7 linked regions of the Callithrix jacchus genome follow. The protein of the gene in region 6 purifies or fractionates together with the protein of the main gene of each other region. This does not show direct contact. Links are inferred from orthologs where the notes say so. Each region holds a gene or a part of one and is shown on either strand. Other genes may lie near its edges. The genes, in order: PRPF6, USP39, SART1, ZC3H18, PNN, PRP4K and EFTUD2.

Evidence for each region.
Region 1: the proteins of PRP4K (region 6) and PRPF6 purify together in Homo sapiens (affinity purification with mass spectrometry; 3 studies listed by BioGRID and IntAct, with this or other methods). This does not show direct contact. The link is inferred for Callithrix jacchus from reciprocal best matches to the Homo sapiens genes PRP4K and PRPF6.
Region 2: the proteins of PRP4K (region 6) and USP39 purify together in Homo sapiens (affinity purification with mass spectrometry; 3 studies listed by BioGRID and IntAct, with this or other methods). This does not show direct contact. The link is inferred for Callithrix jacchus from reciprocal best matches to the Homo sapiens genes PRP4K and USP39.
Region 3: the proteins of PRP4K (region 6) and SART1 purify together in Homo sapiens (affinity purification with mass spectrometry; 3 studies listed by BioGRID and IntAct, with this or other methods). This does not show direct contact. The link is inferred for Callithrix jacchus from reciprocal best matches to the Homo sapiens genes PRP4K and SART1.
Region 4: the proteins of PRP4K (region 6) and ZC3H18 purify together in Homo sapiens (co-immunoprecipitation; 4 studies listed by BioGRID and IntAct, counting the BioPlex papers as one, with this or other methods). This does not show direct contact. The link is inferred for Callithrix jacchus from reciprocal best matches to the Homo sapiens genes PRP4K and ZC3H18.
Region 5: the proteins of PRP4K (region 6) and PNN purify together in Homo sapiens (affinity purification with mass spectrometry; 5 studies listed by BioGRID and IntAct, counting the BioPlex papers as one, with this or other methods). This does not show direct contact. The link is inferred for Callithrix jacchus from reciprocal best matches to the Homo sapiens genes PRP4K and PNN.
Region 7: the proteins of PRP4K (region 6) and EFTUD2 purify together in Homo sapiens (affinity purification with mass spectrometry; 3 studies listed by BioGRID and IntAct, with this or other methods). This does not show direct contact. The link is inferred for Callithrix jacchus from reciprocal best matches to the Homo sapiens genes PRP4K and EFTUD2.

Annotation. Positions count from the first base shown.
Region 1 is NC_133506.1:59,458,738-59,462,237, forward strand, and holds part of PRPF6 (pre-mRNA-processing factor 6), read left to right. Parts: intron 1-187; coding exon 188-306; intron 307-3,500. UniProt on the Homo sapiens protein: Involved in pre-mRNA splicing as component of the U4/U6-U5 tri-snRNP complex, one of the building blocks of the spliceosome.
Region 2 is NC_133515.1:27,386,994-27,390,493, reverse strand, and holds part of USP39 (ubiquitin carboxyl-terminal hydrolase 39), read left to right. Parts: intron 1-702; coding exon 703-770; intron 771-2,511; coding exon 2,512-2,700; intron 2,701-3,500.
Region 3 is NC_133511.1:123,052,789-123,056,288, forward strand, and holds part of SART1 (U4/U6.U5 tri-snRNP-associated protein 1), read left to right. Parts: intron 1-1,734; coding exon 1,735-1,908; intron 1,909-2,002; coding exon 2,003-2,113; intron 2,114-2,376; coding exon 2,377-2,464; intron 2,465-2,944; coding exon 2,945-3,035; intron 3,036-3,500. UniProt on the Homo sapiens protein: Plays a role in mRNA splicing as a component of the U4/U6-U5 tri-snRNP, one of the building blocks of the spliceosome. May also bind to DNA.
Region 4 is NC_133521.1:46,286,006-46,289,505, reverse strand, and holds part of ZC3H18 (zinc finger CCCH domain-containing protein 18), read right to left. Parts: intron 3,059-3,500; coding exon 2,954-3,058; intron 2,440-2,953; coding exon 2,296-2,439; intron 1,882-2,295; coding exon 1,816-1,881; intron 1-1,815.
Region 5 is NC_133509.1:73,856,293-73,858,946, forward strand, and holds part of PNN (pinin), read left to right. Parts: intron 1-1,250; coding exon 1,251-1,406; intron 1,407-1,483; coding exon 1,484-1,622; intron 1,623-2,321; coding exon 2,322-2,654. UniProt on the Homo sapiens protein: Transcriptional activator binding to the E-box 1 core sequence of the E-cadherin promoter gene; the core-binding sequence is 5'CAGGTG-3'. Capable of reversing CTBP1-mediated transcription repression.
Region 6 is NC_133505.1:26,495,837-26,499,336, reverse strand, and holds part of PRP4K (serine/threonine-protein kinase PRP4 homolog), read left to right. Parts: intron 1-2,107; exon of another isoform or gene 2,108-2,231; intron 2,232-2,856; coding exon 2,857-2,971; intron 2,972-3,062; exon of another isoform or gene 3,063-3,224; intron 3,225-3,500. UniProt on the Homo sapiens protein: Serine/threonine kinase involved in spliceosomal assembly as well as mitosis and signaling regulation. Connects chromatin mediated regulation of transcription and pre-mRNA splicing.
Region 7 is NC_133506.1:85,259,620-85,262,187, reverse strand, and holds the end of EFTUD2 (116 kDa U5 small nuclear ribonucleoprotein component), read left to right. Parts: intron 1-198; coding exon 199-352; intron 353-1,165; coding exon 1,166-1,273; intron 1,274-1,613; coding exon 1,614-1,709; 3' UTR 1,710-2,068; downstream 2,069-2,568. UniProt on the Homo sapiens protein: Required for pre-mRNA splicing as component of the spliceosome, including pre-catalytic, catalytic and post-catalytic spliceosomal complexes. Component of the U5 snRNP and the U4/U6-U5 tri-snRNP complex, a building block of the spliceosome.

The sequences.
Region 1 (3,500 bases), on a different chromosome or scaffold from region 6:
GTCTTTCATGCCCTTGATACCAGAAGAGTAGTTACCAGTTACATTGTAGACCATCCCTCAATTTGGCTTTGTTGGCTGAAGAAATAATTTAGCAAGTATTTCATAAGTAGAGATCGTCTCCATTTCTGCTGGTGGGGAGATATTGGAGGAAAAGCTCACCTCTCTACACATGTTGTTTGGTTCTCAGTTTAATGGCTATGCCGGGAGCCTCTTCTCAAGTGGGCCCTATGAAAAAGATGATGAGGAAGCAGATGCTATCTATGCAGCCCTGGATAAAAGGATGGATGAAAGAAGAAAAGAAAGAAGGTAAAAGAAATTGTTGCCTTTCACAATATTTATCCAACTTTAAAAAAAAAGTTGGCTGGGTGTGGTGGCTCACACCTGTAATCCCAGCACTTTGGGAATCTGAGGTGGGTGGATCACTTCAGATCTGAAGTCGGAGACCAACCTGGCCAACATGACGAAACTCTGTTTCTAATAAAAATACAAAAATTAGCTGGACGTGGTAACGCACGCCTATAATCCCAGCTACTCGGTAGGCTGAGGTGGGAGAATTGCTTGAACCCCGGAGGTGGAGGTTGCAGTGAGCCAGGATTGTGTCACTGCACTGCAGCCTGAGTGACAGAGTGAGACTCCATCTCAAAAAAAAAAAAAAAAATTTTTTTGAGGCCAGGTGTAGTGTCTCGCATGTGTAATCCTAGCACTTTGGGAGGCTGAGGTAGGATGATAGCTTGAGCCCAGGGGTTTGAGACCAGTGTAGGCAACATTAGTGAGACCTCATCTCTACAAATAATTTAAAAATTAGCCAGATGGTGCCTGTAGACCCAGCTGCTTGGATGGCTGAGGTGCAAGGACCGTTTAAGCCCAGGAGGTAAAGGCTGCAGTGAGCCGTGATCATACCACTGCATTCCAGCCTGGTTGACATAGTAAGACCCTGTCTCCAAAAAAAAAAGAAAGTTTCATTTGCAATTGTTTTATACTTGGAGAAAAGTTGCAAAGTACATGTGTCTCTGCTCGGCTTTTAGGCCACGTAAGGGTCTTGTGCTGTGGTAGCAGTGTTTGGATAGGCACTGGGCTGCTGCAGAACAGCCTCAGGGCCTGGGGGCTGGAGTGGAGAGCTTTAAGAATTCTGGGGATTGCTTTTACTATACATCCGTGTTACCATCTTTGAAAAGGGCATACTGACTGTTGATTATAATCTATTATGTGTTGAGTAATTTTCAAACAAATTAAAGATGTCAGCTGACAGATACAAGGTAATAAGATTGAACCATGAAGAAATCCCAAACCTGAACAGACCAGTAGTAAGTAATGAGATCAAAGCTGTAATACAAAGTGTCCTAGCAGAGAAAAATTTCAGGATCTAATTGCTACATTGCTGAATTTTACCAACTATTTGAAGAAGAACTAGTATCAATTCTACTCAAACTAGTCCAAAAAATAGAGGCGAGAATACTTCCAAATTTATTCTGTAAAACCAGTATTACCCTGATACCAAAACCGGACAAAGACACGTTGAAAAAAGAAACCGACAGGTCAGTATTCCTGATGAATGTTAATGCAGAAATCCTCAACAAAAGACAGCAAACTGTATGTGACAACACATTAGAAAGACCATTCATTGGCTGGGCGCAGTGGCTCTTACCTGTAATCCCAGCACTTTGGGAGGCTGAGGCGGGAGGATTGCTTGATACCAGGAATTTGAGATCAGCCTAGGCAAGAGGGTAGTACCCTGTCTCTACAAAAAAATACAAAAATTAGCCAGGCTTTGTGGCATACACCTATAGTCCTAGCTACTCAGGAGGCTGAGGTAGGAGGATTGCTTGAGCCCAGGAGGCAGAAGTTGCAGTGAGCTGAGATTGTACCACCACACTTCAACCTGGACATCAGAGAGAGGTCCTGTCTCAAAAAAAAAAAAAAAAAAAGGAACATACCTCAACACAATAAAAGCCACATACAGCCGGATGCCATGGCTCACACGCCTGTAGTCCCAGCACTTTGGGAAGCCCAGGCAGGCAGATCATTTGAGGTCAGGAGTTCGATACCAGCCTGTCTCTACTAAAAATCCAAAAATTAGCTGGATGTGGCAATACAGGTCTATAATTTCAGCTACTCGGGAGGTGGAGGTTGCAATGAGCCAAGATCACACCACTACATGCCAGCCTGGGCAACAGAGTAAGACTGTGTCACAAAAAAAAAAAAAGAAAAAAAGCCACATGTGATAGGCCCATAGCTAGTATCATACTGAATGGGGAAAAACTGAAAGCCATTTCTCTAAGATCTGGAACACACAAGGATGTCCACTTTGACCACTGTTATTCAACATGGTAGTGAAAGTCCTATCTAGCACAGTCAGATGAGAGATAATAAAGAGCATCCAGATTGGAAAAGAAGAAGTTGAATTATTCTTGTTTGCAGATGATATGATCTTATATTTGGAAAACCCTAAAGACTCCACCAGAAGACTATTGGAGCTGACAGATTAATTAAAGTTGCAGGCTATGTCGTCAGGCATGGTGGCTCATGCTTGTAATCCCAGCATTCTGGGAGGCTGAGGGTGAGTGGATCACCTGAGGTCAGGAGTTTGAGACCAGCCTGGCCTACATAGAGGAACCCTGTCACTATCAAAAACAGAAAAAATTGGACTGGGTATGGTGGCTTATGCTTGTAATCCCAGCATTTTGCAAGGCCAAGGCGGGCGGATCACCTGAGGTCGGGAGTTCGGGAGATCAGCCTGACCAACATGGAGAAACCCTGTCTCTACTAAAACTATAAAAATTAGCTGGGTGTGGTGGTGCATGCCTGTAATTCCAGCTACTTGGGAGGCTGAGACACGAGAATCGCTTGAACCTGGAAGGCAGAGGTTGCAGTGAGCCGAGATTGTGCCACTGTACTCTAGCCTTGGTGACAGAGTGAGGCTCCATCTCAAAAAAAAAAAAAGGTTGTAGGATACAGAATCCACATACAAAAGTCAGTAGCCTTTTTGTCATCAACAGACGACAATCTTAAAAAAATCAAGAAAGTAATTATATTTACAAGACCAGGCATAGTGGCTCACACCTGTAATCCCAGCACTTTGGGAGGCCAAGGTGGGCAGATCACACGGTCAAGAGATCAAGACCATCCTGGCCAACATGGTGAAAGCCCGTCTCTACTAAAAAAATACAAAAATTGGGTGTAGTGGCCCAAGCCTGTAATCCCAGCTATACTCGGGAGGCTGAGGCGGGAGAATCGCTTAAACCTGGGAGGCAGAGGTTGCAATGAGCCAAGATCGTGCCACTGCACTCCAGCCTGGTGACAGAGTGAGACTCCGTCTCAAAAAAAAAAAGATAGAAATTATATTTATAATGGCTACAAATAAAATACTTAGGAATAAACTTAACCAAAGAAGTAAAAGATCCCTACAGTGAAAACTATAAAACATTGATGCAAGAAATTGAAAAGGACACAAAAAAATGGAAACATACTCCATGTTCATGGATTGGAAGAATCAGTGTTTA
Region 2 (3,500 bases), on a different chromosome or scaffold from region 6:
ATTGGACATTGTCTCCCTTTGAAAGTAGCATATGGTTATGGGAAGTTCCTTGGCTGTACCTTGTTTGGCTTATGAATTTTTTTTTTTTGTTATTTGTGTATCACCAGGCTCTGTAAATCACTCATTCATTTTGAACACATTTACTTTTTCTTTTATGGACCAGGCCCTGTGATGGAGGATCAAAAGTTGTCCTAAAGGGCAGGCGTGGTAGCTCACACCTGTAATCCCAGCACTTTGGGAGGCCAAGGTGGGTGGATCACCTGAGGTCGGGAGTTTGAGACCAGACTGACCAACATGGAGAAATCCTGTCTCTACTAAAAATAAAAAATTAGCTGGGCATGGTGGCACATGCCTTGTAATCCCAGCTACTTGGGAGGCTGAGGCAGGAGAAGCGCTTGAACCTGAAAGGTGGAGGCTGTGGTGAGCCAAGATTGCACCATTGCACTCCAGTCTGGGCAAAAAGAGCAAAAATCTGTCTCAAAAAAAAAAAAAATTGAAGAGAAATAAAGTAATGATTTACACAAATAATAATAAAGGTACCATGGTGGTATATGGTACAAAGGGAAACTTCTGTGTTCAGTGAGAGCTCTGGGTCTTTTGCTGAAAGAGGCTAGTTTATTCCAGAAATTTAGAAGCTGGAAATATATTTTGGACATGTTTTCCAACCTCATGGAATTTGTCTTTCGCTTTCTGTTTGTGCAGCTATTGTGACTGATGTTTTCCAGGGGTCCATGAGGATCTTCACTAAAAAGCTTCCCCATCCTGATCTGGTGAGTTAGTTGAGCCTGGATCTTGGACTGATTTATATTGCTTGAGGGGCCTTAAGGAAGATGAAGAGATGTTTAGAGAACTGACAAACCTGCTTGCCCTATGAAGAGGCTCAACAAAGCACCTGCCTAGTGGCAGCTCTGACTGGTCCATGTCATGCTAGTGCACTTTTCAGTTTGGGAGTTAGTGGTGGGATGTACTCTGCTGGTTTAAGTGGTCTAGCCAGTAGGTAGTGCTGATTTGTTTTTTCAGAAAGCTCAAATAAGCTTTCTTTATTTTTCTGAGACAGAGGCTCCATCTGTCACCCAGGCTGGAGTACAATGGTGTGATCTCAGCTCACTGCAACCTTTACCTTGCAAGTTCGAGCAATTCTGCCTCGGCCTCCTGAGTAGCTGTGATTACAGGCACTTGCTACCACGTCCGGCTAATTTTGTATTTTTAGTAGTGACAGGGCTTCACCATGTTGGTCTGGGCTGGTCTCGAACTCCTGACCTCAGATGATCTATTCGCTTCGGCCTCCCAAAATGTTGGGATTATAGGCCTGAGCCATTGTGTCTGGCCCAGCTAAGCTTCCTAGATGGTCTTAGAGCTTTTCTTTTTTGAGATGAAGTTTCGCTCTTGTTGGCTAGTCTGGAGTGAAATGGCACGATCTTGGCTCACTGCAGCCTCCACCTCCCAGGTTCAAGCAATTCGCCTGCCTCAGCCTCCTGAGTGACTGGAATTACAGGCCTGCGCCACCATGCCTGGCTAATTTTTGTATTTTTAGTAGAGATGGGGTTTCACCTTGTTGGTCAGGCTGGTCTTGAACTCCTGACCTCAGGTGATCCATCTGCAATTGGCCTCCCAAAGTGCTGGGATTACAGGTGTGAGCCACTGTGCCCGGCCCACTTTTTTTTGTCTTTTTTTTTAATGGATTTTTTTTCTTTTTTGAGATAAGCTCTCATTCTGTCACTCAGGCTGAGTGTAGTGGCATGATCACGGTTCACTGCAGCCTCAACCTCTACAGCTCAAGTGATCCACTCACCTCAGCCTCCGCAGAAGCTGGGACTATAGATGCACACCACCATACGTGGCTAATTATTTTTATTTTAATTTAATTAATTTATTTTGAGATGGAGTTTCACTATTGTTGCCCAGGCTGGAGTGCAATGGCATAATATTGGCTCACTGCAACCTCTGCCTCCAGAGTTCAAGCAATTCTTCTGCCTCAGCCTCCCGCGTAACTGGGATTACAGGCATGTGCCACCATGCCTGGCTAATTTTGTATTTTTAGTAGAGATGGGGTTTCTCCATGTTGGGTCAGGGTGGTCTTGAACTCCCGACCTGTGGTATCTACCCACCTTGGTCTCCCAAAGTGCTGGGATTACGGGCGTCAGCACCCAGCCAATTTTTTATTTTTTGTAGAGATGGAATCTCACTATGTGCCCACGCTGCTCTTGAAGTCCTGGACTCAAGCAGTCTTCTCACCTTGGCCTCCCAAAGTGCTGAGATTATAGGCGTGAGCCACCACACTTGGCCTCAGAGCTTTTTAGATAGTCTGTTATATATGCACAATCTCTTCAAAGAAGGAAACCTGTTCTTAAGTTCATCTAACCACGTGTTGCATGCCAAACTGCCCAATCTCTCAGGCACCTCTCTTTGTTCCTTCGGATGAAGGAAATTTCAGCCTAGCAAAACATCAGTTTTGTATCGGTTGCTATACCACTCACACTCCTTTCCTCTCTTCTTCTTACTCATTTCTAGCCGGCAGAAGAAAAAGAGCAGTTGCTTCACAATGATGAGTACCAGGAGACAATGGTGGAGTCCACTTTTATGTACCTGACACTGGACCTTCCTACTGCCCCCCTCTACAAGGACGAGAAGGAGCAGCTCATCATTCCCCAAGTGCCACTCTTCAACATCCTGGCCAAGTTCAATGGCATCACTGAGAAGGTAGTCCATTAGCAGCCCTGCCCTGCCAATACTTAGACTTGCTCTCTTGACTTTTTCATTTTCTTCCTTTTCTTTTTTTTTGAGATGGAGTCTTGCTCTGTTGCCCAGGCTAGAGTGCAGTGGCACAACTTCAGCTCACTGTATCCTCTGCCTCCCAGGTTCAAGGGATTCTCCTGCCTCAGCCTCCTGAGAAGCTGGGGTTACAGGTGTCCACCACCATGCCCAGCTAATTTTTGTGTTTTTAGTAGAGACGGGGTATCACCATCTTGGCCAGGCTGGTCTCGAATTCCTGACCTTGTGATCCACCCACCTCGGCCTCCCAAAGTGCTGGAATTACAGGCATGAGCCACCATGCCCAGGCTCTTTTTTTGAAACAGAGTTTCACTCTCGTTGCCCAGACTGGAGTACAGTGGTGCGATCTTGGCTCACTGCAACCTCTGCCTTCTGGGTTCAAGCAGTTCTCCTGCCTCAGCCTCTCGAGTAGCTGGGATTACAGGCATCCACCACCACACCTGGCTCATTTTTAGTAGAGATGGTTTCACCATGTTGGCCAGGCTGGTCTCGAACTGACATCAGGTGATCCACCTACCTTGGCCTGCCAAAGTGCTGAGATTACAGGTGTGAGCCACCGCGTCTGGCCCATTTTCATTTTATAAATAAGAATCACTACATGTATGTGATGTGTTTATTATAATGTGTATTGACTTTACTGAGCCTTCCAGACTCTTTGGTACTTCTAGCTGGTCACCCCCGACTCTTAACTTACAGTGCCTCTTCTTTTTATTATTTTTTGAGACAGG
Region 3 (3,500 bases), on a different chromosome or scaffold from region 6:
GCCTGGGTAACAAGAGCGAAACTCCGTCTCAAAAAAAAAGAAAAAAAGCATATCAGCTGGGTGTGGTGGCTCAGGTCTGTAATCCCAGCACTTTGGCAGGCTGAGGCGGGCGGATCACTTGAAGTCAGGGGTTCGAGACCAGCCTGGGCAACATGGTGAATTCCTGTCTCTACTAAAAACACAAAAACTAGCTGGGCGTTGTGGCGTGCACCTGTAGTCCCAGCTACTCAGGAGGCTGAGGCAGGAGAATCCCTTCAACCCAGGAGGCAGAGGTTGCAGTGAGCCAAGATCACACCATTGTGTTCCAGCATGGGTGACAGTGAGACTATCTCAAAAAATAAATAAATATCTGGGTCAACAGAACAAAATCTCATGTAGAAAAAAAAAGAGAACATAAATAAATAAATTAATAGCATCTGCTGAGTTAGATATACCCCCTTTTCTGTTTACGATGAAGTTCATTAAAAAATAAGTGTTCCAGGATGTCCTGGAATATATATGTATTTTTGAGACAGGGTCTTGCTCTGTTGCCCGGCTGGAGTGCAGTGGCAAGATCACGGCCTACCACAGCCTGACCTCCAGGCTTAAGGGATCCTCCCACTCCAGCCTCCCAAGTAGCTGAGACTGCAGGCATACACCACCATGCCTGGTTGATGTTTATAGTTTTTGTAGAGATGGGGTTTCACCTTACTGTCTAGGCTGGTCTTGAACTTCTGGGCTCAAGTGATCCTCCAGCCTTGGCTTCCTAAAGTGCTAGGATTATAGATGTGAGCCACTGCAGCTGGCCCCTGGAAGAATTTTTTTTTTTGAGACAGGGTTTCACTCTGTTGCCCACACTTTGAGTGCAGTGCTATGATCTTGGCTCACTGCAGTCTCGATCTCCCAGACTCAAGCAGTCCTCCCACCTCAGCCTCCCAAGTAGCTGGGACTATAAGCTAATTTTTATATTTTTTTGTAGAGATGGGATTTGGGCATGTTGCCCAGGCTGGTCTCAAACTCCCGAACTCAGACAATCCACTCGCCTCAGGAGATTTTTTTAAAATGAAAGAGGGTGCAGAAGTGGACATGGCAATCGAGGCTTCACTGAGGAGTTTGCTGTCAGGGCTTCGGGGTTGAGGGAGGAGTTTTTTAAAGAGGAGAGCTAGTGGGCAAGTGTGTGTGTGGCCGGGCATCTACAAAAGGAGGGAAAGCAGAGGGTGCTGGTGCCCATGTGGGGGTCCTGGATTTAGTGCTGGTAGCACGAGTGGGTTCTCTTAGCATGTCATGGCACCTGCTTTCTTGGTGAAGTGGGAAGCAAGAAGCTGGGCTGTGGGAAGTCAAAAGAGTGGGCCACCTCACCGCCCTGTGGGTTCTAGAAGTGCTGCCTACAGAGTCTTGAAACTGGAGTTTGTTGTGGGAGGGGCTGGTGGCAGGAGGGACCCTGGAGGAAGGTGCTTGAGGCTGAGGTAGTGTGCCAGGGGCTTTGGAGCAGGGTTGGCACAGGCCTGGTCAGGAAGGCCCTGTAGGGTGTTGGGTGTTCATTCAAAGGGCAGCCAAACCCATTGATGGGAGCAGAAGAGTGACCCCAGTGAAATAGGTGTAGAGTGGAGTCAGGAGGCAGAGATCAGCCAGGACCCACATGGGCTGTGGGTGTGGCCTGTCTTGCTGCTGCCAGGGAGGACCCTTGGGTTCCTGGGTCTCAATGGCATCACCCCAGAAACTGCTGGGTTTGCCCACAGCTACTCCCTCCCCCAGGTGGTGGAGATTGTGAAGAAGCTGGAGTCTCGCCAGCGGGGCTGGGAGGAGGATGAGGATCCTGAGCGAAAGGGGGCCATTGTGTTCAACGCCACATCTGAGTTCTGCCGCACCTTGGGGGAGATCCCCACCTACGGGCTGGCCGGCAACCGCGAGGAGCAGGAGGAGCTCATGGTGCGTCTGGGGCAGCCCCACCCTGGGCTTCGCTTGGCTGGGTAGGCTGGCTGGGGGCTGGGGGCTGGGCTGACCCTGGTCTTTTGTGCCCCAGGACTTTGAACAGGACGAAGAGCGCTCGGCCAACGGCGGCTCTGAATCTGATGGGGAGGAGAACATTGGCTGGAGTACGGTGAACCTGGACGAGGAGAAGCAGCAGCAGGATGTGAGGGCCGCACTGTCACCACGGGGTGGGGGGCGGGGGCATGGGGGCGGGAGGGTCGAGCTGGAGATGAGTGCCCAGGCACGTTACTCGGTGTCCTCAGCCTCCTCATCACAGTGCGCTCTGCATTCCTCCCAGCGTGATCTGAGTATACCTGAGGAAATGAAGTTAAACGCTGTGGCTGGTGCCCGGCAGGGGGTGACTGATGGGTGGGGGTGAGAAGAGGCGGTGTGGCTTGCTAACCAACCCTGCCACGTGCCCCCCAGTTCTCTGCTTCCTCCACCACCATCCTGGACGAGGAGCCGATCGTGAATAGGGGGCTGGCAGCTGCCCTGCTCCTGTGTCAGAACAAAGGTAGGGAACTCAGGGCAGCTGTGGCTTGGGTGGACTTGGGCACTTGGGCAGGAAAAGGGCTTGTGGGGGCTTCGGTGCAGCAGGTGCAGGCAGGGTTGCCTCCGTCCCCTCTGTTGCCTCTTTCATTCCCTATGCTGGAGCCAGCTGCCCGGCCCAGAGCCGCTCCTTCTCCCCCTGGCATCTGTCTCTGCCTTACGAGGCTCCATATCTGCTCCAGGAAGGAGAGGGGAGTTGAAACTGTTACAGCTGTAGCAGAGAAGCCCTGATGTTAGGACCCCAGCTCTGCCATTTCCTTGGCCAGTGGCCCGTGGCAAGGGGCTCATTTCTGCATCTTTGCTTTAGAATTGGCCTGATGGCTTTCCAGAGGCAAGGAGAGGGAGGTGCACCCCACAGGGCCCATTTCACTTTCTCAGGAGGCCCTGGAGCGGCGCCTCTCACAGGGTTGGGCAGCCTGGAGTCTCACAACCCCTCCATCCCTAGGGCTACTGGAGACCACAGTGCAGAAGGTGGCCCGAGTGAAGGCCCCCAACAAGTCTCTGCCCTCAGCCGTGTACTGCATCGAGGATAAGATGTGAGTGTGCAGGGCTGGGGTCCTCACATCGAGGATAAGATGTGAGTGTGCAGGGCTGGGGTCCTCACATCGAGGATAAGATGTGAGTGTGCAGGGCTGGGGTCCTCACATCGAGGGTAAGATGTGAGTGTGCAGGGCTGGGGTCCTCACATCGAGGGTAAGATGTGAGTGTGCAGGGCTGGGGTCCTCACATCGAGGGTAAGATGTGAGTGTGCAGGGCTGGGGTCCTCACATCGAGGGTAAGATGTGAGTGTGCAGGGCTGGGGTCCTCACATCGAGGGTAAGATGTGAGTGTGCAGGGCTGGGGTCCTCACATCGAGGATAAGATGTGAGTGTGCAGGGCTGGGGTCCTCACATCGAGGATAAGATGTGAGTGTGCAGGGCTGGGGTCCTCACATCGAGGGTAAGATGTGAGTGTGCAGGGCTGGGGTCCTCACATCGAGGGTAAGATGTGAGTGTGCAGGG
Region 4 (3,500 bases), on a different chromosome or scaffold from region 6:
GAATGCCTTAGGAGAACACGGCAGACGGACAGAAACAGCAGGTCTGTGGCTCCTCCAGTGCACACTCAACGTGGACACAGAGCACACAGGACGGGCACCTGAGTCCGCCCTGCTCATCTGCTGCTCAGGAAAACACTACCACGTCTCCCGAGGGTGTTGAGAATACATGGGTGAGATTTGTGGGCCAGGCGAGGGGTTTCCCAAGGGGAGGGATAAGAGAAACAATGCATTTTTTTTCTTTTACAAAAGTCAGGTCTTTAAAACATTTCAAACCTATTAAGAAACATTTTAGGCCCGGCGCGGCGGCTGACGCCTGTAATCCCAGCACTTTGGGAGGCCGAGGCGGGTGGATCACGAGGTCAAGAGATTGAGACCAGTCTGGCCAACGTGGTGAAACCCCATCTCTACTAAAAATCCAAAAATTAGCTGGGCATGGTGGTGCGTGCCTGTAGTTCCAGCTACTCAGGAAGCTGAGGCAGGAGAATTGCTTGAAGCCAGCAGGCGGAGACTGCAGTGAGTTAAGGTTGTGCCACTGTACTCCAGCCTGGGCAGCAGAGCAAGACTCTATCTTGAAAAAAGAAAAACATTTTAGGCCAGGCATGGTGGCTCACGCCTATAATCCCAGGACTTTAGGAGACCAAGGGAGGAGGATCACTTGAGCCCCCAGGAGTTTGAGACCAGCCTGAACAACATACCAAGACCATGTCTCTCCAAAAACAATTTAAACAAACACACAAAGTCTGACAACTACTCAGTAAGGAATCTAAAGACAGATTCAACACTGTCTTCTTTTAAAACGAAACCTCGGAAATCCTTTTTCGGTTTTCCTGTTTTGGGAGGGCCTCACTCCATCGTCCAGGCTAGAATGCAGTGGTGTGATCATAGCGCATGGCAACCTTGACCTCCCAAGTAGCTGGGACCGTAGGCACACACCACTATACCCAGCTAATTACAGAACATTTCTGGGCTGGGCACAGTGCCTCACACCTATAAGCCCAGCAGTTTGGGAAGCCAAGGAGGGCGGATCACCTGAGGTCAGGAGTTTGAGACCAGCCACCAACATGATGAAACCCCATGTCCACTAAAAATACAAAATTAGCTGGGTGTGGTGGTGTGCGCCTGTAGTCCCAGCTACTTGGGAGCCTGAGGCAGGAGAATCGCTTGAACCCAGGAGGCAGAGGTTGCAGTGAGCCGAGATTGCATCATTGCACTCCGGCCTGGGCAGTAAGAATGAAACTGTCTCAAAAAAAAAAAAAAACTTTTTCTGTGGAGATGGTCTCACCATGTTGCTCAGGCCGGTCTTCACGTCCTAGGCTCCAGCAACCCTCCTGCCCAAAGCGCTGGGATCACAGGCATGAGCCCCACGTCTGGTCCCAAATCTTTCCCGTGTATTCTCTTACATGTTTTTTACTGGCTTCCTCGGTCCCTCAGGGGTGTGACAGGCCCCGCAGGCCCAGCCTCCGCCTCTGCTGGGCCGGAAGCTGCCGGCTCCTCCCCAGGTGCAGGTGCTCTCTTAGGGAGATGGGGCATCAAGTCAGCAGGGTGGAGGCCCCTCCTCCTTACCTGAGCACCCTCGAGTTCACAAGCTGTGTGTGTGGGGGGGTCTCCCTATCACATGAGTCCTGGCCCATTTTATCATCTGCATCAGTTCCAACCACAGCCTTCCATGGCACCAGGGTGACTCAGACCCAGAGGAGCCCCAGAGCTGGCCCCAGCCGGCCTGTGGGAGACTCCCCATCCCACAGGCTGGCCTCTTCTGGGGACTTCCTGTCCCTGATGGGGAGGGAGACAGAGGCACAGGGTGACAGGAATGACCTGGATCGGGAGCTGGAGCCGCTGTAGCTGCTGCCACTGCCGCTGCCGCTGCCGCTGATCGTCCGCCTGTAACACAAGCAACAGCTGGGCTCACCGGGCACGGCCTCCCCTTCCCACCAGCAGCCCTGCGAGGTGAGGCTCCAGACTGGCCTTGCCACCGACTTATAAAAGGGCCTGGGGCTATTTTCCTTTAGGCAGTGTTTCTCAAAAATGCACTCTCTCAGGGACAGCACCTCTCAGTGCAGACAGGGGCTGTGGATGGACAGCCGGTGATCCCTACCATGCTGTCCTTTCCCCATCAGGCTCCAGAAAAACAGGCTTAGAGAGGGAGCGGGACAGGTTCCCAGGTCAGGGCTCACTGGCTGCTGCTGCTCTGCTGGGGGGCGCCTCTTACGACCTGGCTCCGGACCCCCCCACACCAGATTTCCACCAGTGCCATCATCATGGTTGCACCAAGGACACAGACGCCGGAATGCTCACCTCCTCGGGGGGGTCCTGGCTTGCCGCTCCTTCCTCCTGGCTTCCCGGGGGTCTCCTGGTTTGGTGGGCTCGGGGACAGGAGCAGTGGTTTTGGTGGCCTGTGGTGGGGCTGGAGGCGGGGCTGGCTTCTTCACTGACTTCTCTCTGTGAAACAGGGAAGCTTGGGCAGGGCAGGGCTGGTGGACGAGGCCCCACTGGCCCATGTCCCCTTTAAATGCACCTGAACCTCAGGGTACAACACTGCATGCCTGTGACGCTAAGTAAGAGGCTCGTGTCTGGATATGGTTCCCCATCGATCAGTGACAGAGTACTTGGGAATGGCTTCAAAGCCCCCAGCAGCCCTTCCAGCCTCCCCTCTAACAGGCAAGAGCTGCAGGCACCAGGGGGTGACGGAGCAGGCTGAGAGACAGACCCCGTGAGAATACCCGGGGCTGCTGCCGTGTCCCCAGGGGTCTGGGGGGAACACTGTAGTGCAAGGGCAGCTTGAGAACAGGGGCTGTGCCCAGTGATCCCCAGCCTATTCACCCTCCGGGGACAGACCCCTGAAGCAACCTCATCTCTTTGGTCCCAAACGCAATTGACAGACAGAGATGGAAGGAAGAAGCTGCAGCCTCTGGAGGCTGGGCTGCCAGGACCTCCCCACAGGCCGGGGACTCACCCTGCTTTCCCAGGCGGTGGGGCCGGCTCCCCCTTGGTTCTGATGGAAGGTCTATGTGGGGAAGGTGTTGGGGACGGGGACGGGGACGAAGAGAAGGACCGGGACCTGGGGGAGTGAACAAAGGTGTGAGGAAGGGCCTGGGGGTGTTTCTTCACCAGCCCAAGGCCACTGAGGACCCACCCAGATCCATGGAACAGGCCACAAATTTCCGAGTATGGGCCTCAGATTGAACTTCAGTTCTGGACCTATTCTGTCATCTGCCCAGAGCAGACTGGAGTGTGGAAGGTGTCAGCACCCACTGGCGGGTCCTCTGGGAGGCATGTGTCATGTTCACGTGTGTGCAGGACGGCTGGGGACAGGTTTCTTGGCAGCGGGGCATCAGCATGGCTCCCACAGAAACACCTGCAGGACAGGGCTGCATCTGGCCCCTTCCTTGGCCTGTCAGGATCTCAGACTGTGGTCCTCAGTGACAGCACCATCTGCACCAGGACGAGGGCCCACAAGGCTAGTGTTTGGTGGGGGGACACAGGACCTGACCCTCTGGCCA
Region 5 (2,654 bases), on a different chromosome or scaffold from region 6:
TCCAGCCTGGGCTATGGGGTGAAACTCCATCTCAAAAAAACAACAAAACAAAACTACTTAATCATAAGCCTAAAATAAAGCCAGGTAAAAACTTGGTTTACCAGCCTTACTTAAACATTGTGTTGCAATGTAACAGTTGTTGATATCATAGTTAATAGTGTTGAAATATAGATATGTGAAAAAAAAGCCTCAGTCTCCATTTCCTGAAAGACAAATCACAGTCAGTACCAAGTGCTAAGTTCTAATTAGTTGGTATGCTGAATTGAAAATGTGAAGCGGTTGGGCGCGGTGGCTTACGCGTCTAATCCCAGCACTTTGGGAGGCCGAGGCCAGTGGATCACCTGAGGTCAGGAATTGGGAGACTGGCCAACATAGTGAAACCCCATTTCTACTAAAAATACAGAGTTAGCCATGTGTGGTGGCATGTAATCCCAGCTGTTTTGGAGGCTGAGGCAGGAGAATCACTTGAACCTGAGAGGTGTATGTTGTAGTGAGTGGAGATTTCGCCATTGCACTCCAGCCTGGGCAAGAGGAGCGAAACTCTGTCTCCAAAAAAAAAGAAAAAGTGAAGCATATGCAGATACTTTTTTTTTTTTTAAGACAGCGCCTTGCGTAATCTCGGCTCATTGCAACCTGTGCTTCCTGGGCTCAAGCAGTTCTCCAGCCTCAGCCTCCTGTATAACTGGGACTATAGGCCCAATGCCTGGCAGAAATTCTTTTTTTTTTTTTTTTTTTTTTTTTTTGCAGAGACCCGGTTTCACCATGTTGCCTGGATTAGGCTGAGCTCAAAGCATTTTGCCCACCTTGGCCTTCCAAAGTGCTGGGATGACGACAGGCGTGAGCCAACTTGTTCAGCCTGCAGATACCTTTACATAGTAAAAAAAAAAAAAAAAGAAAAAAAAATTTTGAGATGGAGTTTGTCTCTTCTTTGCCCAGGCTGGACTACAGTGGCGTAATCTCAGCTCACTGCAACCTCAGCCTTCTGTCAGCCTTCCAAGTAGCTGGGATTATAGGCATGTACAACCACGCGTTGCTAATTATTTTGTATATTTAATAAAGATGGGGTTTTACCATGTTGGTCAGACTGGTCTTAAACTCCTGACTTCAGATGATCCACCTGCCTTTGTAATGTTTCTCATAATTGGGATGTGTAATAATAGTTTTTCATTATAATTGAACTGAAATCAAATATACCTTGTCTTGTATCTATTCTAACACATAAGTATTAAAGCAAGATACTTAATTTTTAGCAAAAGCGGCGCCAGGAAATTGAACAAAAACTTGAAGTTCAGGCAGAAGAAGAGAGAAAGCAGGTTGAAAATGAAAGGAGAGAACTGTTTGAAGAGAGGCGTGCTAAACAGACAGAACTGCGACTTTTGGAACAGAAAGTTGAGCTTGCGCAGCTGGTGAGTAATGATACGGAATTCTAAGATTGGTAATCCTTCAGGTTTACAAAAGCACTGACCTTTTACCTTTTCTTTAGCAAGAAGAATGGAATGAACATAATGCGAAAATTATTAAATATATAAGAACTAAGACAAAGCCCCATTTGTTTTATATTCCTGGAAGAATGTGTCCAGCTACCCAAAAACTAATAGAAGAGTCACAGAGAAAAATGAATGGTAAGTACATGAAGAGGTCCGTTGAATTTTTCTTAGTGGGTAAGGTAATACATTCATATACACACATTTGTTTTCTAAAATAATTGTGATTCAGTGATTGATTTGCTGTGTTTGGTTTTTTTTTAAATAAAAGGTATTCTGAGATGCTGATGAGTTGGCAATATAGGAATATTTGTTTTCATGATGGAATTTAATCTGCAAGTTATCTTGTAGGCAGTGCTTATGCATCTGTATTCCTTAAGCATTTGTGTAAGATTACTTTTTTTGTATGCTACACTTAGTGTCCTGATAAAATGCTAATAAGACAAACATGAATATGGACAGTTTCTAGCTGGAACACAGATGGAAGGATAGACACTGCTGAGATGATTTGTCTCTTTGGGATCAAAGATATATATGATTTTATGTCAAAACTGATTCTGTGTTAACAGAAGTTTTTCATCAAACAAAGATTTATCTTCATCAGTTAGAAAATATCTAATTTTGTCCACCACTAATTTCTAGTATGTAGATTTCCCATGGATCTTTGCATGTATAATTTTATGTCAGTTTGTGATTATAATTGCCATAATCTTTTTGTCATCATCACTTTACAAAAACAAAGATGAAGCGTACTAACAATTTGCAACAGGTTGTAAAATTGTGGCTTTGAATTTTCTTAATCAGTAAATTTTACACATGTAAATTTTTATTTTTTAGCTTTGTTTGAAGGTAGACGAATTGAATTTGCAGAACAAATAAATAAAATGGAGGCTAGGCCTAGAAGACAATCAATGAAGGAAAAAGAGCATCAGGTGGTGCGTAATGAAGAACAGAAGGCGGAACAAGAAGAGGGTAAGGTGGTTCAGCGAGAGGAAGAGTTGGAGGAGACAGGTAATCAGCACAATGATGTAGAAATAGAGGAAGCAGGAGAGGAAGAGGAAAAGGAAATAGTGGTTGTGCATAGCGATGCAGAGAAAGAACAGGAGGAGGAAGAACAAAAACAGGAAATGGAGGGTAAGATGGAGGACGAAACTGAGGTAAGGGAAAGTG
Region 6 (3,500 bases):
CAGTTATTTTTCCAGATCCTCTCCTTTCTCTCACCCTCCAGCCTCTGATGGACCCCAGTGTGTATTGTTCCCCTCTGTGTCCTTGTGTTCTCACCTTTTGAAGTTTTAATCCTCTTCAACTAATAACTTCTGGTGGTTAACATGCAGATTTCACTATGTTATATGTGTTTTTGAAATTTTGAAAAACATACACATTATCGTAGTGATGTGATTAATGCACGCACACACTCTTCCCTGGACCCATTTCTTCACCCTGTTCTGTGGCCTTCAGTTTGGGGCGTGTTCACAACTTGGAGAATTCTAGCTTATCTGCCAGTAACAGCCTGCATTTCATTTTTTTTCTAAATGGGTTTCCTTTATCAACTCTCCTACAGTTGATACCAAGGAGAGATCCTTAAAACTAAAAGCTAAGCATGTAAGGTGTCCTTTATTGGAAACGGTTTGAGCTATTAAAAAGTAAATACTTTGTTCCTTTTTTTTTTGAGGCAAGGTCTTATTCTGTCACCTAGGCTAGAGTGCAGTGGTGCCGTATGGCTCACTGTAACCCTGAACTCCTAGGCCCAAGCAGTTCTCCTGCCTCAGCCCCCCCAGTAACTGGAACTACCTATAGGAACATGCCACTGTGACACTTAATTTTTAAATTTTTTTAGAGATGAGGTTTTGCTATATTGTCCCGTCTGGTCTCAAACTCCTGGGCTCAAGCAGTCCTCCTGTACCCTCCCAAAGTGCTGGGATTATAGGTGTGAGCTCCCATGCTTGGCCAAAATAAATTCTTAAAACAATGGTGATTGAATTAGACTTTTTAGTTGAAGGACTTCTTATCAATAACTAAGCTCTTTAATTCATATTTCTCTTTTTCTTTTTTGTTAATATATTAAAATGTTTCCTTCCAGACAACCACATTAGTAATGAGGTACATTCCATTTTTATGTTTGGTCTGAATTGTTGTATATCTAATGTAACTTGGACTTGAGTAATTACATTGAAATGGTAGGTACATTAAAAATGAATTGTAAATTGTAAATTTGTGTGGCCAATTTCGTGGTTTGCTTTTACCTCAATTTTTTGTTTTTTAATTGTGAAATACATGGTCAAAGAATATGTAAAACATGTTCAATTTAAAAGGTCATTTACAGTTAGCACCTTTGTAACCATTGTGGAGTTAAAGAATAACATCTTTGCCAGTGTCATAGAAGAAGCTCTTGGTTTTAAAGCATACTGCTAAACTAGTATAGGTTTTTACATAAATTTCAGAAATGTTTTCTCTTCTTCATGGGGAAGGAAAAAATAGACCTCAGTGACATGGAGCTGATTTTGTTAATGAAACTCCAAAGCATTTAGCTCGTGACTCCCGGCATCAGTGTGGCTTAAGTATCAGATTCCTCATGACAGGAGTAGAAGTTGTGTAGCAAACTGAAGTGCATATGGGATGGATACCCTGCTGTTATTTAAGGCAGTATAGCCAGCCCAGGAGTTCCACTGATAGATTCTAATTTTATAATAGTTCTGAGGTTTTCTCTGGGTATTGAAACTGCTTAAGTAGCTGAATTAAGTTTTAAGCTGCGCACGGTGGCTCACGCCTGTAATCCCAGCACTTTGGGAGGTGGAGGCGGGTGGATTACGAGGTCAGGAGTTTGAGACCAGCCTGGCCAAGATGGTGAAAACCCGTCTCTACTAAAAATACAAAAGTTAGCTGGGCACAGTGGCACGCATCTATAATCCCAGCTACTCGGGAGGCTGAGGCAGGAGAATTGCTTGAACCTGGGAGGCAGAGGTTGCAGTGAGCCCAGATCGTGCCATTGCACTCCAGCCTGGGTGACAGAGTGAGACTCCATCTAAAAAAAAAAAAAAAAAGTTTTAAAGAACTTTTCTCTTTTAAGATAATTACGTTTCTGATTTCCAAGATGAAGAGAATGATAATCAATGTGGAAGTTAAAAATAATCATTTCTGTTACTATTAATAACTTAATTCTGTATATCATTTATAATAGTCCAATCTCCCCATAGAGACTGCCTAAGGCTATTTAAAATGATATGTTGCTTTGGGGTGGGAGCAGTAGGCCAAGTTCAAGTTCCAACTCGGTATTTGTGTGTGTCTCTTTTGAAGGGGGGAAGGGACTCTGCAATATGAATTATCTTCACTTGTTAACCCTGAACATGCTTCTGACTCATGAGTGGCAGCAGTCATGGGAGCAACTCCAGCCTTTCTCAGCAGATGTCACTATTACTGTGTATGTTGAAGTATTTACAAAGGAAAAAAGAAACAAATGACTAATATAGAGTTCATGTTTATCAGTTTTGCCAGATATATTTAACGTTTTCTTGACTAATACCTTTGTATTTAAGGGTTTTAATATTTTTTAGACTGGAAGCGATTGCTAAATTTAGGATGAGATAGCAAGCTTCGGATGAAGAATGTTTTGTTTTTGTTCAAGTTTAATCTGAATCACCCTTCTGCTTTCATTGCCATTGTAATTCTCTGGCAACTGACAGTTAAGTCTGAGTCCTTAGTAATAAAACTTGACTTTATTCAGGTATTTAGGGTCTTTTTAGAAGATGCTTTGCTTCATAAAATGAGATTTTTTCTCTCAGTACCTCACCCTTTTAAAAATGCAGTTGTTAAAATTAAATATACTTTGTGGTATCTCACGTTTCCTCACTGAAAACAGTTTTTACTCATTGTAATGAATATTTGATATATCTTAACTTTTCATAGTTAGGAAATTGAATTAAAAATAAATAGAAAATGAATTTTTAAATGAGTATCTTTGTTCTCAAAATAAAGCAGTAATTTTTATTTATTTGTATTAATTATTCCAGGCTTGAATTGAATTCCTTTGAAAAAATGTTTTGCAGGTTAATGAATCAAAAACTATTTTAAAGCTTTGCGATTTTGGGTCGGCCTCACATGTTGCGGATAATGACATAACACCTTATCTTGTCAGTAGATTTTATCGTGCTCCTGAAATCAGTAAGTTTCTTAATGTTCTTTGACCTGGGCCATCATATGTGGTGGAAACCGCTTACTTAATATCTAAGCACTGTTTTCCATCACACTTCAGCAGCTGCACGAGTTCATTCATGAGGAAGGGAACCATAGCAAGTTCATCCTCCTCAGGTGGAATGAAGGTAGTTGTGACAGGAGTCTTGATCATGTCGGGCAAGAGTAGCAAAACAGTTGTGGAAAATCCTCGACTTTAGAAGACTGCTCTTGATTATTCAAGGTCTGATTATCACATTTATGGATTGTATGGGACCTTTGTTTTTTCCTGTTGCCTTGGTTGAGGCTGACTAGCACCTCCACCAAAGGCAAAATGAGAAAAGAGAAGAAATACATATTTTCTTGTGCCCTTTCAGTTCCTCCCCAAACCTCCACTTTTTAAGGTTTTTAAGTTTGAGTCTCTATTAAGAATTAGTGGGAACGAACACAAAACTAATTGTCAAACTAAGGCATTAAGATTGTGGTTATAGTCCAAGCTAAGGTAGCCCCTCATTAGTGG
Region 7 (2,568 bases), on a different chromosome or scaffold from region 6:
AAAAAAACAACAACTCAAGACCACAGGAAATTACACTGAGAGCCCCGAGCTTTTTCTGCTCTGTATAACATTCTTGGTTACTCTTTCTTTGATGGTAACTCTGGGCTGGGATGCATTTGGGAACAGCCAATGGCAGATTGCTTCTTGTCTTTTGGCCTTTGTATAACTAGAGACTCGGCCTTTATTTTTTTGTCGCAGGGGGCACGTGACTCAGGATGCACCCATTCCAGGCTCCCCTCTGTACACCATCAAAGCCTTTATCCCAGCCATCGACTCTTTTGGCTTTGAAACTGATCTCCGGACTCACACCCAGGGACAAGCCTTTTCTCTGTCTGTCTTCCACCATTGGCAGGTGAGAAAACATCGCAGGCTGGCTGGCTGCGTTGGCCTCACACCTCTGCAAGCCTCATCCCCTTCTGTCCTGATCCCCCTCCAAGCCCTAAGTGAGATGTACAGCATCCTAGAGAAGAGTCCTCTTCTGGGGAGCATATATTCAGGGCAACTTGAATCTGTGTCTCTCAGTTTAAAAAAAAAAAAAAAAATAGAGGACCAGCACAGTGGTTCACACCTGTAATCCCAGTACTTTGGGAAGCCAAGGCGGGCAGATCACGAGGTCAGGTGTTCAAGACTAGCCTGGCTACCATGGTAAAACCCTGTCTCTACTAAAAATACAAAAAAAATTTAGCTGGGCACAGTGGTGGGTACCTGTAATCCCAGCTACTCAGGAGGCTGAGGCAGGAGAATCACTTGAACCCAGGAGGCAGAGGTTGCAGTGAGCCAAGATCGCACCACTGCACTCTAGCCTGGGCGACAGAGCAAGAGTCCGTCTCAAAAAATAATAATAATAATAAATTTAAAAATAAAATAGGGACTAACACAGAGAAACCCTGTCTCTACTAAAAATACAAAATTAGCCGGGCATGGTGGTGCATGCCTGTAATCCCAGCTACTCAGGAGGCTGAGGCAGGAGAATTGCCTGAACCCAGGAGGCAGAGGTTGCAGTGAGCCGAGATCATGCCATTGCACTCCAGCCTGGGCAACAAGAGCGAAACTCAGTCTCAAAAAAAATTTTTTTTTTTTCTGTAAAATAAATAAGAATCCTGCTTCTGGGCCCAAATCTTCTGGGGAGTCTGCCTGGGCCATCTGAAATTCCTTTGTCTTTTAGATTGTCCCTGGTGATCCTCTGGACAAGAGCATTGTCATTCGCCCTTTGGAGCCACAGCCGGCTCCTCACCTGGCCCGGGAATTCATGATCAAAACTCGTCGTAGGAAGGTATGTCTTCCTTGGGCCTGTTACCATCCCTCAACCCCCCAGAACTCTCAGAAGTAGGATCTCTATGTCTGTCTTTTGGCCCCTTTTCCTAAAGGACCCTTTTCCAATGTAAACATGTGATCTGTATACTCTTGAGGCAACTAGACCTGGGCCCTAGTCTTGCTGTGGAAGGAGAGCTTTATCCTCCTATATGATAGTACCCTGAAAGCAGGGCTGCTGAAACAACACCACCTACATTCCTGCTACCACTAGCCTCACTGAGCGCAGGTCTTGGGTGGCCTCCCCACTCAGTCTGCCACCACCTCGGGCTTTCTTGTATTTTTCTTGTATTTTTCTGCAGGGCCTCAGTGAAGATGTGAGCATAAGCAAATTCTTCGATGATCCTATGTTGCTGGAACTCGCCAAACAGGATGTTGTGCTCAATTACCCCATGTGAGTGCACGGACTCCTGGCAGCTCCTGCTCCCTACAGTGAGTTGCAACTCCTGCACTTGAAGCTGAGACCTGGTATGACATGGCCTTCGTGTTGTTAGAGTGTCTGGAAGCTGCTGTTGGTGTCTTGAACAACTCACCAACCTCTAACCCAGAGCGCCAGTGAGAGAGGAGCATTTGGCCTCCTGCTTCCTTCTGTGCCCTCTGCCAGGCTCCATTTCCAAGGAAAGAGAGGAGTTTGCTTGGACTCACAGAAAGAGAAGCGGGGATGGAACCCCCCCATCTTTGGTATTTACATGGAATTTTATTTTCTACAAGTTTGACCTTCGCCATGGTTTGCAAGTGAACAGAACATTTTGACCTCTGTCTTGCTCTGTTCCTTTCATCCCCGTCTCCCCTGCCCCATCTGGTCCTGGTGCTTACATTCTGAATATATGTCATCTCCCAAGAGGCTTCACTGCCTCTGCTTCCAGCTGCAGCCTCCTTCCTGCCTGAGTCCCCAGGGAAGCAGCCTGCCTTTTAATTCAGTGTTCTCATGAGTATCAAGGCCCTGTTTTTGCCCCCTTGCTCCCACTCCATGCTGCTTCAGGGTGGGACCTAAGATGGCTTGGGAGTTGTTGGTTCCTGGGATCAGAGGTCTACCCCAGCACCTCAGGAAATTGCTGTCCCGCCCCCCAAGAATCTCCCTTGCCCTAGGGTATGGGGCCAGAGCACTGATTTCCAGCCATTTGCTCTAAGTCCTCTCCCCAGCCACCACCAGTCCCTTACTCTGTTCTCCCCAGTGAAAAAGAGTCTGTTGATTTTCCTCAAAACTGCTTTATTAGAAACATACCAGGGATTGATTTAGGGAAGTCGGACTGCCTT